Linked DNA regions of Callithrix jacchus. The protein of the gene in region 2 interacts with the protein of the main gene of each other region in a biochemical or structural test. Links are inferred from orthologs where the notes say so. Each region holds a gene or a part of one and is shown on either strand. Other genes may lie near its edges.

The links. The genes of interacting proteins can lie anywhere in the genome.
Region 1: of the proteins of ARIH2 (region 2) and CKB, one has a biochemical effect on the other in vitro, tested with the Homo sapiens proteins (2 studies listed by BioGRID). The link is inferred for Callithrix jacchus from reciprocal best matches to the Homo sapiens genes ARIH2 and CKB.

The regions. Positions count from the first base shown.
Region 1 is NC_133509.1:138,348,631-138,359,144, forward strand, and holds CKB (creatine kinase B-type), read right to left. Parts: upstream 6,219-10,514; 5' UTR 6,145-6,218; intron 5,888-6,144; 5' UTR 5,876-5,887; coding exon 5,683-5,875; intron 5,560-5,682; coding exon 5,405-5,559; intron 5,323-5,404; coding exon 5,190-5,322; intron 4,820-5,189; coding exon 4,648-4,819; intron 4,031-4,647; coding exon 3,907-4,030; intron 3,764-3,906; coding exon 3,574-3,763; intron 3,496-3,573; coding exon 3,317-3,495; 3' UTR 3,124-3,316; downstream 1-3,123. UniProt on the Homo sapiens protein: Reversibly catalyzes the transfer of phosphate between ATP and various phosphogens (e.g. creatine phosphate).
Region 2 is NC_133516.1:31,591,562-31,601,302, reverse strand, and holds part of ARIH2 (E3 ubiquitin-protein ligase ARIH2), read right to left. Parts: intron 8,965-9,741; coding exon 8,855-8,964; intron 5,421-8,854; coding exon 5,303-5,420; intron 4,324-5,302; coding exon 4,273-4,323; intron 4,183-4,272; coding exon 4,161-4,182; intron 766-4,160; coding exon 614-765; intron 1-613.

The sequences.
Region 1 (10,514 bases), on a different chromosome or scaffold from region 2:
ATGTTCTTAAAAGAGTAGTGAAAAGAGCCCAGGAGTTGGAGCTAGGTGGCCGGTCCTTCTGCCTCTCTGAGCCTGAGTTTCCCCATCTTTGGGGGGCCTCAGGCTGTGGTAGTGGTACAGTCCTGCTGCAGCTTCCGTGGGCTTCCACAGACTGGAACATTTTTAACAAAACATTAAAAAATTAATTTGGCTTATATAAGTAATACATGTGCCCTGTAGAAAATTTGGAGAATAAAGTATAAAGAAGGAAATCACCTGTTACCCCACCCCCACAGTGACTACTGTTCTTTGGGGTTTTTCCATACATACTCTGTGTGGGATCTCAGAGCACAAGCTGTTTTATAACCTGCTTCTGCACTCGAGCTTTTCTCAGCATGTCACCACCTCACTAGATTCCTCACACTGTCGTTCTGTCTGCACAGGACCCCAGAGGAGGGGCAGGGCCGCAGCGGCTTCAGTGTCAGCAAATCTCCCTTACAGTTCCCCTGTTTTCAGTAATTGTATCTGTTACTTCTGTAGGGCAACGGGACTTGAAGACGCAGACTGTTTTGCCCCTCAAGGGGCATTTGTCAATGTCTAGACATTTTTGATTGTCACAAGTTGGGGAAGCGAGGACTGCTGCTGGATGGCCCCCACCAGAGTTGTCTGGCCCAAGTGTCTGGAGCGCCACTGTGGAAACCTGCCGTAGACTCATTCCCGAGCTGGGAAATCCCTGAGTGACAGGAGGAAAGCTGAGGTAGGGCTTGGTGTAGCCAGACTGCCCTGCAGGGAGATGTTTCCAGCGCCCAGGACGTCTTCCAGCATCCCTGCCACCCCTAGATACTGTCCTCTGCTGCCCACGTTTCACAGTGCTTTCAAGGAGAATTAAACTTGCCTGTTCAAGTCTCCGGAGTCAGAGGAAGAGGAAGGCTGTCTAGACTGTGGTTGGAGGTTCCGGGGAACTGGTGGCCCTAGCAGGCAGAACCGCCACTCACCTGCCGAGGGAGTGTATATTAAGCCTTGCCTGGTCCCCAAAAGAATGAATGCAGCAAGGTAAAATATGGGAGGCACAGGGAAGACAGTGGGCCCAGGAGAGTTGGGGGTCCAGGCCCTGTGGGCGCCACAGGCCAGCCAAGGCACCACCTACCTTCAGAGTTTACTGCTTCAGAAAGAAGTTGAGCTGAGCCAGGCCCAGCCCTCGGCCTTCCGGGCAGTGTGTTTGGCCTGCACGGGGTGATTAGCAGTTCCATTTGTTTGCCCACTGGTGGTTCTAGGAGTGCCCCACTCTAGGGTCTGCACAGGAAAATGGGAATGTTGAAACACAAGTGACAGGCCTGCGCAGCCATGCCCTCAGCCCTGTGTTCACCTTGGAGTTGGGGCCACACCACCCCAGCGATGGTCAGGCTGGAAGGCTGGCTCTGCTCACGCCACGGTGAGGGGGACTGGGCCAGCAGGAGGGCTTGCAGCTGCAGCAGCTGTTGAGCAGGAGGGAGGGCAGCACTGACGGGGTCCCCTGGGGGTGGAGCACAGGCAGGCCTAGAGACCCCTGCCTCACTGAGGGGTGCCATGTCCCTGGCCAGGCTCATGCCACATTCTGATAGTGCCCCACACCAAGCTGCTCACAGGGAGCCTCAGCTGGTGACACAGCAAGACAGGAGGGCTTTAGTGGCCAGGTCCCCACTGGGTCTGTGTCCCTTCCTCACTGCCCTCAACCTCCCCTTTCCGGGGGGGCTTGCTTCCTGTACTCACCTTGGGCTTCTCATCCCAGCCCTTCTCCCGAGACTCCAGACTATACGACCCCAGCCTGGCCTGGCTTAGGCCTTCCTAGCTAAAGGCTAAGCCAGAAACTGGCCCCTGGTCAGCCAGGGAGGGCCCAGTCCAGGGCCCAAAAGATGGATGCAGAAGTGCCCCCAGCCTTCTGCGTGAGAGGACCGGCTGCCCCCCATGTGCCTAGCCTACACTCTAAGTCAACCCTGCTCTTAGGGCCCCCCGGGCGCCCAGCCCAGCTGCTTTCCTGCTAATGCCTCCTTGGAGCCTTCCCAGCCTGGAGGGCCCTCTAGACACCCCAGATGGCCATTGTGGCCGATTCAAGGATGCACGCCACTGCTGCTCCTGAGCCCCAGTGTCTAGGTTGACAAGCCCTTCATGTCCCAAGGAGGTGAGAGCCCAGTGATCCACACTTATAGTCCAGGGATGCAGTGGGCGTAGAGATAGGGAATGAGGCCTGCCCCAGACCCTGATCCCCAGGGGTGGGGTGGAGGCGGCCGTGGCCAGCAGGTGGCAGCACAGGCTGCATCCTTGGAGCTTAGGAGCTGGAAGATGGGATGCAGGATTCCTAGGCCCTGGCTGGCTCACCTGTCCGCCTCCATTCCCTGAGCTGGCTGAGCCCCTCAGGGTGCCCAACCATGGTAGGAACTCTGAGCCAGAGGCTGGGCAGGGACAGCAGCAACTGGCAACTGTAGTGGGAGGGGATTGCATCGGGACCAGGGAGACGAAGCTCTAGACAGCCCAACCCCCTTCTGCCCCAGGGTCCCTACCTTGTGGTCCCACCTTGAGACCAAAGGGCTGGACACCCAGAGGCCCCTGAAGAGGAGGCTGGCAGTGAAGGGGGGACCAGTGGGGCTGGGGAGCTCTGCCTGGAGGCAGAGGCTGGGAGGGAAGGAAGCAGGGGGAAGCTAGAGAGTATGTGTTGGGGAGATAGGAGGGAGGCAGGGAGATGCCTGGATCTGATGATGTTGCTGCTTGGAAGACTGGAGGAGGAACCTGGTTGCAGGAATGGGAAAGCTCTAGTTTCTGGGCTCAACCCGTCACCCCCACTATCCCTACCTACCCCCCCCAACCCTGCAGGATGGGGGCCATGAGCCAAGGAATGGGGTGTTTTTTGTAAGGCCTGAGGAACGTGCCAGGCTCCACACCCCAGGCCTGAATGCCCTCAGATGCTCAGAGCTCCTCCCTCACTGCCCTCAGTGTTCCTGGGAGACAGGAGGGAAGGGGCCCATGGACTAGGTGGGGCAGGCAGAACACAGTGGCCACCTGCTGGCTGCTGTCCCATCTCACAGAAGGCGAGGCCCACAGCAGGCCCAGGACTCACTTCTGGGGCCTGGCTGCTGCCCCCTGGGAAAGGAGAGGCACCACTCACGCACAGGCAGGCCAAAACCCTAGTTTATTTCAGCATCAGCAGTTTCTTAGCCATCAAAAAAATAAACTCTACCAAGGGTGACGAAGTCTCTACAGCAGGGCTAAGGGCTCGCCAGGCGGCGAGCATCAGGGTGCATGGTGGGCACTGCCCAGCAATAAGTTAGGAAGCAGCAGGCTGGTGTTGGGTGTGGGCCGGGCTTCACTTCTGGGCAGGCATGAGGTCGTCGATGGCCTGGCCCTGTTCCAGCCGCTGCTCCATCTCGATGAGCAGCTTCACTCCGTCCACCACCATCTGCACCAGCTCCACCTCCGAGAAGCCCAGGCGGTCCGCGTTGGAGACGTCGAAGACCCCGCCCACCGCAGCTGTGTCCACACCGCCTGGGGAGACAGCAGGTCAGGGGGAGGGAACAACTGCCCAAGGGCCAGCAGGAAGCCCACAGCACCTGCCCTGCTCACCTGTGCCTCGCTTCTGAAGTCGAAGCCGCTTAAGCACCTCCGAGAATTTCTCGTGCTTGCCCAGGTGGGGCAGCTTGATATGCACACCTGCCCGCAGCCCTGTGCCCAGGTTGGATGGGCAGGTGAGGATGTAGCCCAGGTGAGGGTTCCACATGAACTCATAGTTCTTAGACTTGAAAAGAGTTTCAATCTGCAGACAGAAGAGGGTGTGAGTGGGAAGGCCTGCCTGAGACGACCACAGGCCCCAAGTCCCGGAAATCCCCCAGGGGGACCGATGGGGTACCCACGTCCCTGCCTGAGCCCTGGGATCTGGACCTGCCCCATCCCTGGCACCTGAGTGAGGCCGGTGCAGAAGCGGGTGAACACTTCCTTCATGTTGCCCCCCTTCTGCATGGAGATGACCCGAAGGTGGTCCTCCTCGTTGACCCACACCAGGAAGGTTTTATTGTCATTGTGCCTGTGGGAGGGCTGATCTCAGGGCATATCCAGAAAAAAGCCCCAGGCCGTCCAGACCACAGGAACTTCCCAAGGCCCCAAGGTGCTGCTCTCAGCCGTGCCCAGGAGTAGCGGCTGTTGCCAAGACTCCACCGCCAACACGGGGCAGGCGGGGAACGGAAAGCCTCAGAGAGCAGGAGAACCCCCGCTACCATCATGTGCTGTGGTCTGAGATGGAGCGGGGCCAGGGACCGCCAGGACAACCCTGCCCACCACCACCCCCAGTGGGGGTAGGAGCCCTGCCCCTGGAGAAGCTTCTGCGTCACCAGCTCCTGGTAGAATCCCAGCAGCGGAAGAGAGAAAGAAGAGAAAACAAGGAGCTCCAGCTCCCGAGGGGCGTGGGGGAAAGGCGCCAGCGAGCCTCGCCCCCCCCTCCTGGCATGGAGGGAGGAGTCCCCACCGGCCCAGTCCCTTAACGCACCTGCGGCCAAGGTCACCTATGCGGAGGGCGGGGCGGCAACGAACCCAGACTCGGAGCGCGGCCCCTCCCTCCTCCTCGCTGCGAGCGAGCGGGGCGAGAGGGAAAGGGGAGGCGGCAAGGAGGGAGGACGCCGCAGGAGGGCGCAAAGGGATACGCACCAGATGCCGCGGGCGTCCGGCCAGTCGCGGGCCATGCCCGAGGCCAGGAGCAGAGGAGACACGGGCTTGTCAAAGAGGAAGTGGTCGTCGATGAGCTGCTGCTGCTCCGCCTCCGTCATGCTCTTGAGCGCGTAGTATCGGCCAGCCAGGTCGCCGTCCAGGCTGGACAGGGCTGCGGGGGGCGCGCTCAGGACGCTCGGACCCCGCGCCCGCCCCGCAACCCTCATCGCGGACCCGCCCGCACCAGGGGACGTCAGAGGCCCCCACCCGCCCGGGTTTGCGCGCGTCCACTCCTCACGAGCCGGGCGACGGTCCGAGGCTGTGACCCCGCGCCAGAACGCTCCCTCCCCGGGCCCCAGGCCGCTGTGGACGCGGGGCTGGGCCGCCGGCACCTCGGTCCCTCGGGGAAACTGAACCCGGGCGCGCGCAGATAAAAGCGTGGCGGCGGCGACCGCTCCCGGGCGGCTGATAAACAAGCGGGCGGGGACCGCGCCGGGACGGGGACGCGGTTGCCGCCGACCCTCGGCCCGCCCGGCCCCTACCTTCCACCGCGAGCTTCTCGATGGCGCGGCGCTCCCCGCGGCTGCAGTGCGGGGGGAGGCAGAAGCCGCGGATGCTGCGGCCCGTGCGCACCCGGGAGCTCAGCACGTAGTTGGGGTCCAGGTCGTCGCCGCCCTGAGGGCCAGACGGGAGTGAGCGCCGGGAGACCCCGGAAACGCGGCTCGCCCCGCCCGAGCGCCCGCTGGCCGCTCCGCACCTGCAGGTTGTCGGGGTTGAGGTCAGTCTTGTGCTCATCGCTGGGCTTGTAGCCGCCATGCCGGTCCTCGATGATGGGGTCGAACAGATCCTTGAACACTTCGTAGGATTCCTCGTCGCCCGCCACGCAGCCCACGGTCATGATGTATGGGTGGCCTGGGGGAGGGGGCGCGGGACGGGGACAGTGACGTCACGGCCGGGCCCTAGCGCGCTGCTGAGGACCCTGCGGCCGCGCGCGGGGAGGGGGCGCCGGGACCCCGGCCCCGAGGGGGCGCGTACCCGGGTTGTCCACGCCCGTCTGGATGACGTCGTCCAGCGTGAAGCCGCTCGGCGTGCTCTTGGCGCGCAGCTCCGCGTACAGCTCGGGGGTCAGCACCTTGGCCATGTGGTTGTTGTGGCTGCTCAGGTCGGGGAATTCGTCCTCGGCCGGGAAGCGCAGCTTCAGCGTGTTGTGGCTGTTGGAGAACGGCATGGCGGCTGCGGGCTGCGGGGAGACGCGGGGTCAGCGGGGACGGGCGCGCAGGGTTTCCCGGGCTCCCGTGAACCACTCAGGGCCCCGCCGCCGGCTCCCCCGGCGCCCCCAGGACGCGGCCAAGGTTAGCGGGGTCCACAGCGCGCGCGGGGAGCGCCACCGTTGCCGGGGACCCCCGGCCGATCGGGCGCGCGCTCCGAGCGCGTGACGCCTCAGCGCCCCTCGCCCCGGCACGGACGCCCCGGCCCCCGGCCCTCCGGCCCACTCACCGGGCGTCCGTGCGGGGGCGGGGGCGGGGTCGCTCCGTCGGCCAGCAGCTCCGGGCGCGGCGCAGGCGAACAGCGGCCGCTACGCTCTCCCGAGGCTCTTAAGGGGTGCAACGCGGGCCGCCCATTGGCGGCTATTTATAGCCCATTCATTCCATTGGCCCGCGCCGCGGGGTGGTGCCGCCGCTTTGTCCGCCGCCCGCAGCCCCCAACACCCCCCGGCCGCCCACCCGAGCCGTCCCTTCGCCGGGACCCCGCGCAGCCTGCCCAGCGCCGGCCCAAGACCTCGAAACCGAAACCTCAGGTCCTTAGCTATTTGTATCCCCTCGCGCGCCCTGCCTCCGACCGGGAAACTGAGGCCGGAGAATCTCCGGGCACTCGAGGACGCTCGGATTCGTCCGCATCCTCGCGCCTGCCCGCCTCGTCCAGCCAGCCCCCGCGGCGGCGGCGGCGGTGAGGGGCCAGGCGGAAGCGTTAAGGGCTTTTGCAGCAGGTACTGACCGCACCCCACGTTCGAGCTGGCCTGGAGCCGCTGACCTTCCTCAAGGTGCCCGCAGGCATTTCCTGGGCGATCTTGGTGCAAAGCGAAGGCACGCGGGAGGTGTAGTCTGGCTGCGGCCCAGCCCGGGGGCACCGCGGTGCCCTGACCTTGGACAAGTCCTGGGGCTCCGGGGGATGCGGGGCAGAAATCACTGGGACACTGTGGCCTTAAGAGACCGCCGGCAAGTGCAGCCTCGGAGTTTCCAGACACCAACCCCAGGCCCTCTTCGCAGGGGACAAGTTCTCCCGACCCCCAAAGGCGGTCTCCAGAGACTTCAGGCAAGGATGGAGGAAATGCTAATAAACAATAAGCATAGGTACGATTAAAAAAGAAAAAAAAAACTCGTCTCACAGATAACCAGAATCATGCAAATTAAACAGTGACTCCACCTGTCTCTACCCTCAACACTCCCAGATCGACCCCAGCCAGTGCTGGCTATGAGCTGGAATGCAGGGAGACAGGCGTCCACATGCTGCCTGCAACTTGAATTGCTGCATGCTTTTCGCAAGGTAATTTGGCAGAATCTATTAACATTAAAAAATGTTCAAACTCTGTGACCCAGCAATCCCACTTCTAGGAATGCAGCCCTTAGGAGGGATGTCTCAGTTCTCTCCACTAATGGACCAGGAGATGTGTGAAGGGAAAAACACACACCTCTGGATACCTGCCGATGCCCATCAGGCTGGACTGGCCCAGAGTGGGAAGGCATCTGCCTGCTGTGGAGTATTATGCAGCTGGTAAGAGGGGAGGTGGAGCATGTGGAGTTAATATCTATCCACGACCCTCATATGTTGCTCTGTGACTAAAGCCAGGAAGTGGGGAACCTTTATCTTTGGGTATATTTGACAAAAACTCCTCCAGCAATGGCACAGTGAGCACCTGCCCAGTGCCAGCTGCTGGGGATACAGCAGGCAGCAAGGTGCACAGTGCCTGCTGCTGGAGGAAGACTGGCCATGAGCCAGCAGCCCGGCAAACCAGATGACATTAGGAGATCAGTGCTGCTGGGGTTGGGGGGGACACAGGGCACAGCAGTTCCAGGCATAAGAGACCCTGAATAGGTGCCTCTGAAGAGAAGGCACCAGAGCCAAGGCGCAAAGGCAGGGGAAGCATCAGCGTGTGGCCCTGCCTCATCCCCATGGTCACTGCAGAGGACACACCTCTTCCCTGCTTGGCTGTGGGGCCCTACCCCATCCCTGTGGTCACTGAAGAGGAGACACATGCCTCTTCCCTGCTTGGCATGCTTTGTCTTGTTCCAAGCCGGCCTTTTTTAGACTAATCAAACAAACCCATGTAAAAAGGCAAATGGCCCCTCTGGGCTGGCCAGACAGCAGGTGTCCCTTAAGCCTGGAATTCCTGCTCTCTGTGCCCCCTGCAGCCTCTTTCCCCAATTTTAGACATTTCTGCAGCTGCCCACCCCCAACCCCACAAAGCCAGAAGGGCTTAAGTTTCTGTTTCTAGAAGGGATAGCTGCAGCCCCTGGAGGCTGACTTGGGGGAGGGAGGGACTTGAGGGGACACTCAGGATTTCCTCTGTCTTCAGCATCTGCAGCTTCTCAGGCCACCCCTCCCTTCTCTCACCCTCCTGGCGGAGAGCCTAACCTGCTTCCCCAGGTCCCCATGGGAAAGGACCCCCTTTCCCCTTCCCTCCACAGGCAAGGTCAGAACTAGAGCTGAGGTCTGGAGAGCAGGACTGCCCGTGGCAAGCAGTGAGCTGGGCAGTGGGGTGGGTCCGGCCTGGGGCTGCTGGCAACCCTCAGCCTTCTGAGGTGGGTGTTTTTGTCCCCAGTGTGCAGACAGAAGATCATTTTATTTTTGCTTTTATTCTGTTGAGACAGGGGTCGCGCTGTGTTGCCCAGCTGGACTCAGTGTGCAGACATATCAGAAGTTGGGTGACAGAAGTGTCCAGTTATAGGCCCAGCAACCCCTCCACCCTCGAAGAGTGCCAGCCCTGTGCCAGCTGCCTGGGGCCGACCGACGGGGCAGAGGCCAGGCAGCTGTGATGGGGCAGCAGCAGCAGGTGAGACCCAAGTATCAGGGTTGAGACCCCCCAGGCAGGAGCTGATTGGGAGCCTTAGAGGCCCGCAGAGCAGGGGCACAAGGGGAGGGTCTGGAAGGTGCCGGCCTTCCCCCAGCTCACCTGCCCCGTCTGCAGAACCCTGCCTTCCCGAGGGCCCAAGGAGCTGAAGGCTGGTGATGTTGCCAGGCCAGTGTTTGGCCCACGTTCCTCAGAAATCACACCTGGTTACACATGAACCACTGGGCCTAGAGGGGGCTTCAAAGGAGGCCCAGGCCTTTTATTCACAGAACATGACGCAGCTCGGGGGGCCATCCTTGGAGTCTGCTCCCAGGGCACAGCAGAGGCAGCATCGCCTCCTTCAGTGCCCTGCCCCTGAGTTCTGCAGAACCCGAAGAGGAAGTGGGCTGAGGTCAGGAGAGGGGCAGGGGCTGACAGGGTCACAGAGCATAGTAGGGCAGGAGACTGGGCTGGTCATAGAGGCAGGGACCGCAGTGACGTGGTCCCTGCCAGGGGCGTGGACAGAGCAGCCTCCCCCGTGAGCATCCTTCCTGCCTGTTCCCACCTTTCTTCAGATCCACCATTGGTTCTCTGAAGCCAGTTTACTGGCTTTAATTCTTAATGAATTAAGAGATGGGGTCTTGGGCCGGGTGCGGTGGCTCACGCCTATAATCCCAGCACTTTGGGAGGCCGAGGCGGGTGGATCACGAGGTCAAGAGATCGAGACCATCTTGGTCAACAAGGTGAAATCCTAATCCCACTTTGACCTCACTGGCTGTGACCTTCGGCAAGTTACTGAACCTCTCTGAGTTTCTGTTTCTCCATCTATAAACTATTCCCTCCCTCATAGGATCCAGGGGAGAATTCAGTGAGATGACCCAGCTGGGCATATACGGCATCAGCCCTTGTGGGGAGCCATAGTACAGACTGTGCAGGGGATCATCAGCTGAGGTAGGGGTGCTGGTTCTGCTTGAGGACTCAGGCTGGGGACTGGGGCAGCTCAGATGGAGCAGATGGGCTGGGCTGAGAAGGCTGCCTGGAGGAGGGGGCACTAGAGGAGTTGGCCAGCCAGTAATGGACAGAGAAGCAAGTGGGAAGTTGGAACCAAGGGAAACCACCGCCAAGTCACCAAATCGTAACTCAGGTCCATGCAGGCAGCCGACTTTACACCACAGCTGAGAGGCTGGGGAAGAGAAGCCCAAGAGAAACAAAGTCAGAATCCCCCAGGGAAGCAATTAGGGGGTAACTCAGGCAGGTGCATCATCTAGGGAGAGAAGCATCTGCTGGAACAGAGGTTGGGGAGCCATGGATGGGACTGGGTTGTCTCAACATTGAGAGCAGAAGGCAGGGAGGCCATGAAGCAGATGTAGAAGCATCTGGTGGCCAGCGTGGTGGCCCCACAGGGATAGGAGCCCATAGAGAGGGAGGCTATGGAAGGCCTCTCACCATCTTACTCCTGGGGGCTCTCAGCTCCTGGCCCAGCTAGGGCAGGGACAGAGGGGCTGAGGTTGGACCCCTGGGTTTCTATGATGGACCCTGAAAAGCCCATGGCAAGGGCCACAGATCCCCTGGCCTGGCCTGCCCCAGAGGCGAGAGTTGAGAGTGCCCACTGGCTGCCAAGGTCCTAGAGCAGAGCTGGCTCTGGAGGAGCATGGCTACCTCATTTTACCAGGCTGGAGTGGCAGAGTGCCTGGGGAGGGTGGCCTAAGGTCATTGCTAACTGGCTTGGGTTCTGGTGCAGGATAAACCCTAGGCTGGGTGGGGGGGGAGGGGGGTCTCTGTTACTCTCCAAGACCTGGCCCTGACAGCTAGGGGCTGG
Region 2 (9,741 bases):
CGTAGAAAAAAGAAAAAAAAAATGGCACTAGATGGAAAAGACTATCTGATGGCCCTTCACTGTCCTTCAACCAATCATTTGGCTGGGCGCAATGGCTCACGCCTGTAATCCCAGCACTTTGTGAAGCCGAGGTAGGCAGATCACAAGGTCAGGAGTTCAAGACCAGCCTGGCCAATATGGCAAAACCCCGTCTCTGCTAAAAATTACAAAAATTAGCCAGGTATGGTGGTGGGCGCCTGAAGTTCTAGCTACTTAAGGAGGTTGAGGCAGGAGAATCACTTGAACCCGGGGGGGATGGAGGTTGCAGTGAGCTGAGATCATGCCACTGCACTCTGGCCTGGGCAACAGAGAGAGATTCTGTCTCAAAAAAAAAAAAAAAAAACCATCATTCAACCAAGGTCAGTACCAGTTCCTTCCCTGTTGGCTGGGGATACCCTGTAGAGCTTGAAAGGCACATCTATACAGGCAGCACCCAGGGATACCGCAGGAGCTCCATTCACTGACTTCTATGTGTACAGGCTGGCTCTGGCTACCAGTCCATGGGAATCCCACCCCAACAGGCCAAGTGGAAGAAGCCAACCCTGTAGGGGAAGGTACAGAAGAGGACACCTACCCTCTCAAAGTAGAATAAGTACTTCTTGAGGGCTTCCCTTGCCTGGGCTTGTTGGCTCTGGTTCACAATGTCAGGATTCTCCTTGTAACGACTGCACTCATAGTATTCACTGCCATGAGTCTTCCAATCTCCTAGACACATCCAGCAGAAGTCTGTACAGAACAGAGAAAAGTCTTTTACATCCACAAGACAACTCCACTTTCCTCCAAAGGCAGAGTGAGACAGACAGACCCAGCTCCAAAGTGGTCACCTGAAAAGAACTTCGCAAGGGTGCCTCTTTCCAGAAGGAATGTGCACCTCTCATCCCTGTCATATCCTACTGTCCTTATAGCCTATACTTGCTGATATGAACAATAGCCTATGGATAATTTCTTTTTTTCTTTTTGAGATGGAGTCTTGCTCTGTTGCTAGGCTAGAGTGTGATGGTGCAATCTCAGCTCACTGCAACCTCTTACACCTTGGTTCAAGCAATTCTCCAAGTAGCTGGGATTATAGGCACATGCCACCATGCTCAGCTAATTTTTGTATTTTTAGTAGAGACAGGGTCTCACCATGTTGGCCAGGCTGGTCTCAAACTCCTGACCTCATGATCTGCCCACCTAGACCTCTCAAAGTGCTAAGATTACAGGCTTTGAGAGCCACTCCACATGGCAGCTTATGGATAATTTCTATTCCATCAGCACATGTGCCATGTGCCTTATTAATCTAACACAGGCAGATGCTGACCATAGACTACTGGTCTGCTATGTCAATGCCACAATGAGAAGCAGGAACTCATCCAATTGAGGACTACCTGTCTAAACACATCATCAGTAAAAACTGACCTCCCGACTGCTTCCTACCATCACATTCGTCCTAGAAAGATTTCTGTAGTCCTAGAAAGATTTCTGTATCGAAAGCTAATAATAAAGGCTTTTTCCCTTTTTTTCTGTTTTAAAGAACACAATTCCTATTCTTTTTGAGACAGAGTCTTACTCTGTCCCCTAGGCTGAAGTGCAGTAGTGCGATCTCAGCTCACTGCAACCTCCTCCCAGGTTCAAGTGATTCTCCTGCCTCAGCCTCCAGAGTAGCTGGGATTACAGGTGCCCGCCAACACGTCTGGCTAATTTTTGTATTTTTAGTAGAGATGGGGTTTCACCATGTTGGCCAGGCTGGTCTCGAACTCCCAACATTCAGTGATCTGCCCATTTCTGCCTCCCAAAGAACACATTTCTATAAAACCAAGAGCAATCCAATGGTTCATACTCAGAATTATTCTGTTTTGGCTGAGCGCAGTAGCTCACACCTGTAATCCCAGCACTCTGGGAAGCTAAGGCGGGTGGATTACCTGAGGTCAGGAGTTCAAGACCAGTCCAGCCAACATGGTGCAACCCCCATCTCTACTTAAAAAAATTAGCCAGTACAGTGGCACGATCTCAGCTCACTGTGACCTCTGCCTCCTGGGTTCAAGATTCTCATGAAATGGCAGTTAACTCTGGGTGTCAAGGGATACTGACACCCGGGGACTTCTTAGGCACTAAAAATGTAGTGGGTGCTGGGGTGTTTGTCATTATTCTTTAAGCTGTATGTGTCTTTTGCATTGTTCTAAGTCTATGATACACTTCCCTCTCTGATATATACATAGAAAAAGAGAAAGAAAGAGTGTGGACCCACAGAAGAAATATGCCACTACCTATGGCCTATCTTCGTTTGGCACTGCAGAGTCAATGTTGTTAAGACCCTGCCATGACCACTCTGATTAAGAGGGGTCTTCGGGCTGGGCGTGGTGGCACATGCCTGTAATCTAGCACTTTGGGAATCCAAGGCAGGCAGATCACCTGAGGCCATGAGTTTGAGACCAGCCTGGCCAACATGGTGAAACCCCATCAGCCAGGCGTGGTGGTGGCGCCTATAATCACAGCTACTGGGGAGGCTGAGGGAGAATCGCTTGAACCCGGGAGATGGGTTCACACCACTGCACACCAGCCTGGGTGACAACAGCAAAACTCCATCTTTAAAAAAAGAAAAAAAAGGCCAGGCACGGTGGCTCACGCCTTTAATCCCAGCACTCTGGGAGGCCGAGGCAGACGGATCACCTGAGGTAAGGAGTTTGAGACCAGCCTGGCCAACATGGTGAAACCCTCTCTCTACTAAAAATACAAAAAACTAGCCAGGCTTGGTGGGCACCTGCAATCCCAGCTACTCAGAAGGCTGAGGTGGGAAAACTGCTTAAACCTGGGAGGCAGAGATTGCAGTGAGCCAAGATTACTCCACTGCACTCCAGCCTGGGAGTGACAGAGCGAGACTCTGTCTCAAAAGAAAAAAAGAAGGCTGGGCACAGTGGCTCACACCTATAATCCCAGCACTTTGGGAGGCTGAGGCAGGTGGATCACAAGATCATGAGATCGAGACCATCCTGGTCAACAAGGTGAAACCCCGTCTCTACTAAAAATACAAAAATTAGCTGGGCATGGTGGTGCGTGCCTGTATTCCCAGCTACTCGGGAGGGAGGCTGAGGCAGGAGAATTGCTTGAACCCAGGAGGTGGAGGTTGCAGTGAGCTAAGATCGTGCCATTGCATTCCAGCCTGGGTGACAAGAGTGAAACTCCATCTCAAAAAAAAAAAAAAAAAGAAATAGAAAAAGAAAAAAGAAAAGAGGGTTCCTGGGAATAGCATTCACACAGGCCCTTACAAACAAAAACTCTCAGCCAGGCACAATGGCTTACTCCTATAATCTCAGCACTTTGGGAGGCCAAGGCAAGTGCATCACCTGAGGTCAGGACTGGCCACCGTGGCAAAACCCATGTCTACTAAAAATACAAAAATTAGCTGGGCATGGTGGCATATGCCTGTAATCCCAGCTACTCAAGAGGCTGAGGCAAGAGAATCACTTGAACCCAGGAGACAGAGATCGTACCACTACACTCCCATCTGGGCAACAGAGATTCTGTCTCAAAAAAAAAAAAAAAAAAAAAAAAAAGTAGAAACTCTCGGGGGCTCCTGATAAGCATCAAAGCAGCTGTCTGTGTAGGAGACCTACTTCGACATATTTTCTACTTGAAGGGATTCTGTTTCTTCAGTTGACCTGGCAGGAAGCCATGCAAAACCAATTGGTTCTAGCTATGTAAACTACTCCTGATCGATAAAGGAGGTCTGAAATGCTAAATCAAAACCCCCTCTATAAACTTTGTAAAACAGCAAGAGAAAAGCATTATTTTACTGCCTCTGGTAAAGGTATCTCTAAGGTAGCACAGATAAGCCCCAAGCTACTTACCAGCCTTGGCAAAGAATGAAAGCAACACCCTGAAATCATCTTCTTGGATGACTGAGGATCATGAGGATTATCCCAAACTTGACTTCTGACTATATGTGTTAGCAAGATAGTAGTGGGGTTATAAGAGGGACCAAAAAATAAAATAAGCTACTTTATGCCAGTTATTGTGACTGTAAGTGAATGAGGCTCTTCTTTGTTTTGTCATTTCATGGCAGAAGTACTCACTTAAATAGTAACGAAGACCCAAGCACAAGAAAATGCCACTGGGCCTTACATACCAAGCTTGGAACTCACCGTGTTTACATTTGGAGCATTGCTGTCAGAGGAAAACAGAAGAGAACATGTTAAGGGCACAATGACCAAAGGCTCCATGTCACACATGCAAAGTGTACAGGCTTCTGCTTACCATATGATTGCAGCCTCCATTCTTCTCAATGCAGATGTTGCACTTGGGACACTGAGGAGACAGAAGGGTGCCATTAGGCTCATATACCACTAGGCTGGTTTTAAGACAAATTACACAAAGCTCCCAACACCTGTGCCCAGTCGCTCATCATGTGAGCACTTCTGGGGAGGAGTATCTCACTTAAATGTGGCAGGTCGCTGAGGGTGGAACAGCAATTCAAGGAAATGAGGTCAGTATATTTGGCTCTGAAACACTTCAAGCACCAGCTGAGCCCCATTAAGTCTTCCATTATCTGCCCCTACCATGAAGCTGCTCAGATTAAGCACAGGCTGAATCAGCAAAAAGCCTGCCTACTTGAGAGGACTGCCAAGGAAGCACAGGAGCTGCCACGATGGATTCAGTCCCTGTCAGCTTGCCTGGACTTCTGCTTTAAGAAGAGGGCAAGGAATCCACATCTAAAGCTCCTCTCTCTCATTTGATAGATGCCAGCAACCTGAGGCAGCAATGCAGAGACCAATCTGATTCTGTGATCTGGCACTGCTGTGAAGTAGACTATGTTTAATGATGTCATTATCACAGCCGTGCTTGTGAGTGACTGACAAAGGGTACGGCGGCCTCTAGAGCCCACAGGCCATATTTTCCCACGGAAAACTTCAAAATGAGTATTGTGCAGGTCTAGGTTTGCATTAAAGCCTTACTATGCACCAGGTGTAGCTATTAACCACCTCCTTCCCAAGGCTGTTAAAGGCTGGTAGGCATTCAATCATAATTAGCTCTCTTCTAATTAGTTCCCCCTTTGGGTCAAACTTTCCTGGAATTTTGGCATTTCATAATTTTTAAAAATGCACCCAATGCATCTGATGATAAACTGCTAAAAGGTGCCAAGTCTGCGTGAGGGTCCCCAACCCCCAGTCCTCAGAATGCACCCTGGGGCTCTGAGTATTCTGCTCTCAGATGGCAAATCTCCAAGGCAAGGCCCTGGGCACCACTAAAGAGGGTAGATCCATGAGAGGTAAAATAGGGTCCTTACGTCTTTAGTGTGAGCACTAATGTAGTTGGCTGTTTCAGAGTCATCTGCACACTTCGTGAGCCATTTCCGGATAGTGGCGCAGTCTGTGGGTGCATGATACATCTGACGACACTTGAAACTTACAAATTGGAAAAGAAAAACATTCAAATATTTATTAAGTCAGGGTCCCATGTTTAAAATTTTCCTTTTATCCAAACCAACAAATCATGAATTTAGTTTTTCTTTTTTTTTTTTTTTTTTTGTTTGTAACAGTCTCACTCCACTGCCAGGCTGGCATATATAGTGGCACAATCTCAGCTCACTGCAACCTCCGTCTCCTGGGTTCAAGAGATTCTCCTGCCTCAGTCTCCCAAGTAGCTAGGACTACAGGCGCGTGGCACCACACTCAACTAATTTTTGTATTTTCAGTAGAGACGGAGTTTCGCCATGTTGGCCAGGATGGTCTTGATCTCTTGACGTAGTTAGTGATCCACCTGCCTTGGGCTCCCATAGTGCTGGGATTGCAGGCATGAGGCACCATGCCGGCCTAGGGCTTTTCAAATAGATAAAGTTATCTCTCAAGGCCTATGGGACCTTTACTTACCTAGGATTATACTGAAATAGCTGCACGAATGTCTTTTCATTTAAGCCCTTATGAGACATGCTCTAACGTGCACAAATGAAATGTGTCTGTAGGCTGAGTGCAGTGGTTCATGCTTGTAATCCTAGCACTTTGGGAGCCCAGGAGTTTGAAACCAGCCTGGGCAACATGATGAGACTCCATCTTTACAAAAAAATAAAAAATTATCCAGGTGTGGTATGTGCCTATAGTACCAGCTACTAGAAAGTTTAGGGAAGGAGGATCCCTTGAGCTCTGGAGGTCAAGGATGCAGTGAGCTATGTTCGTATCATTGCACTCCAGTGTGGGAACTGAGAGAGACCCTGTTTCAAAAAAAACAAAAAAAAGATCTGTTGACCAGGTGCAGAAGTTCACACCTATAATCCCAGCACTTTGTGGGGCCAAGGTAGGAAGACTAATTTAGACCAGGAGTTTGAGACCAACCTAGGGAAATAAGGAGACTTTGTCTCTACAATTTTTTCTTTTTGAGGCGGAGTTTTGCTCTTGTCACCCAGGCTGGAGTGCAATGGCATGATCTCAGCTCACTGCAACCTCTGCTTTCCAGGTTCGAGTGATTTTCCTGCCTCAGCCTCCAGAGTGGCTGAGATTACAGGCACCTGCCACCAAGCCTGGCTATTTTTTGAATTTTTAGTAGAGACAGGCTTTTACCATGTTGGCCCGGCTAGTCTTGAACTCCTGACCTCAGGTGATCTGCCCACCCTGGCCTCCCAAAGTGCTGGGGTCACAGGCATGAGCCACTGCGCCTGGCTCCTACAACAAATTAAAAAAAATTAGCTGGACACCTGTAGTTCCAGCTACTTGGGAGGCTAAGGCACGCTTCAGCCCAGGGGTTTGAGGCTGCAGTGAGCAATCATCACTTCACTGTACTCTAGCCAGGGCCACACAGAAGAGACCATGTCTCTCAAAAAATACAAAAATTAGCTGGGCCCAGCTACCCGGGAGGCTGAGGCAGGAGAATTGCTTGAACCTGGGAGACAGGGGTTGCAGTGAGCCGAAATTGCACCACTGCACTCCAGTCTGACACCTAGTGATAGAACAAGACTGTCTCAAAAAAAAAAAAAAAAAAAAAAAAATATATATATATATATATATATATATATATATATATTTCTGTTTAAACATCTTGTTTATCAACCCTCAGAATGTCAAACACAGAGCTATGACTCTCAAAGGGCATGGTGAGGTACTCTGAGAAGGATTCCTTAGTTCAGACCTAAGGCAGGACTGTGATCTACTTCTGGGAGTCTCATCTGATCTCCCAGCCAGACGTGCACACAAAGATGCACAAATGCCAGAACCTGCAAAATCTGTAGGGTCATGATACATCTGATGACCCTGAAATTTAAAACAGAAAAGAAAGACACTCCAATATGTCGAGCTAGGCTTCCATATTTTAAATTTTTGTTTTGTGCACACCAATAGTACTTTGCAGCTAGAAAAGGCCCTCAGGCAGTACCCAGGGAAAGGAGTTCATAAAGTGGGACAGAAGGATAAAGAACAACTACAAGGAGTCTCTCTGAATCTGCTGTAATCCTGGGGGCTGCCTAATTTAAAATGAAAAAAATCCCACATTAGTGATTCTTAACCTTTGGTGTCAACGTCTTGAAACACAGGTATGTGCACACACACATTACATCTTCCATGCAGTTTCTCTGAAGCCCCATCATGAATACTCCAGGTAGGTGTGATTAGGACAGATCTGGGCCTAAATTATGGCTCCACCATTTACTAGGTTTACCTTGCACCTTGATTTCTTCATAGAATATAAGGGTCATGGCTGGGCGCAGTGGCTCAGGCCTGTAATCCAAGCACTTTGGGAGGCCCAAGGCAGGCAGATCATGAGGTCAGGAGTTCGAGACCAGCCTGGTCAACACAGTGAAACCCTTTCTCTACTAAAAATACACAAATTAGCCAGGTGTGGTGACATGTGCCTGTAGTCCCAGCTACTCAGAAAGCTGAGGCAGGAGAATCACTTGAACCTGGGAGGCAGAGGCTGTGGTGAGCAGAGATCACACCACTGCACTCCAGCCTGGGCAACAGAGCAACAAGACTCTGTCTCAAAAAAAAAAAAAGACTGTAAGGGTAATATACAGTTTTGATAATGCAAGAAAAGTGATCAGAGTATAGTGCCTGTCACCTGGTAAGCCTTCAGTAAACTTTAGTTATTCCCATGATATGTACTGAATGAATTGAACCCTGAGTAGATGTAGAATATATTTATGACTTAGTTTTATAAAAAATTAGCCAAGAAGGCTGGGCATGGTGGCTCACGCCTATAATCCCAGCACTTTGGGAGTCTGAGGCGGGTAGATCATGAGGTCAGGAGACCATCCTGGTCCAACATGGTGAAACCCTGTCTCTACTAAAAATACAAAAATTAGCTGGGTGTGGTGGTGCTTGCCTGTAGTCCCAGCTACTCTGGAGGCTGAGGCAGGAGAACTGCTTGAACCTGGGAGGTGGAGGTTGCAGTGAGCTGAGATTGCACCATTGCACTCCAGCATGAATGACACAGTGAGATCCCATCTCAAAATAAATAAATAAATAACAAATAATAAAAATTAGCCAAGAAAGACCAAGACAGAGAAAGATTAAATTTTTGAAGACTGTACCTTTCCAACACAGTAATATGTGATTAGCTATGCAGGTAGATACATCCTCATACAATCTCTGGGCCATGAGACTTAGTAGCATAAGCCACAACACATTTTCCAAGAACCTGTGTCACTTCCTTGTCTTCAGACTGAGCATGTATTGAACACCTAGTGGAATATGAGATGATGGGCACAAACCTACCCACTTGGAGCACAGCTGCTCTGTTGGCTCAGAGACCCTGCCTCTCCCAGTGCTGCACTCACAGGGAACAATAGCAGTGGTGCTTTGGAGGAGGATGGGGCATGAGCCCAGGGCTGCTCAGCACTCACACTCACTCTTACCAGAAGACCTCGTTGCACCGATTGCACTGTACTCGGCGAGCTCTAGGCTCCTGTACCCGAATAACCATGGGGCAGTCTGCACCAGGGCACAGCTGGAGCTGGTAATGACTCTGTGAACAGACCAAGGGGAAACAATGAGGACACTCTTAGTTGCTGTCTACAAATCAGAATACCCTGAATATTCAAACATTTTCTGTTTTCCCAGCTGATGACTTCTATTAAGGGGCTATATGAATTCAGAAGTTATGTCATGAAGACCGAACATAAGCCAGATATTAAAGAGGAACTTTGAACATTGAGCTTAAGTAGCAACTCACTAGAATTGAGCCAAGTAGCAACTCAGTAGGAATGATCTAAGGTGATATAGAACTGCACCAGGCATGGTGGCTCCTGCCTGTAGTCCTAACTACTCAGGGGGCTAAGGTAGGAAAGATTGCTTGAGGCATGGAATGTGAGGCTGCAATGAGCTGACTGCACCAATGCATTCAAGCCTGGATGACACAGAGAAACTCTATCTCTGAAAAAATTAAAAAATAACAAATAAATAAGCATGTATGAGATCAAAGTGCATATGGACCAGGGCTGGAAAGAAACACAGTCTTGTTAACTGTGCATAAGATATCTCTGAGGGCCGGGTGCACTGACTCACACTTGTAATTCCAGCACTCTGGGAGGCCAAGGCAGGCGGATAACCTGAAGTCAGGAGTTCGAGACCAGCCTGGCCAACATGGCAAAACCCTACCAGAAAACATAAAAACGGCTGGTCCAAAGGTAGTGAGTTATCTCAATTGATTGTTCACAGTCAGTTACAGATCGAACTCCTTGTTCTACTCTTTCCCCCACTCTCATTGCACTTGACTAAAAAAATAATAATAAAAAAAAGAAAA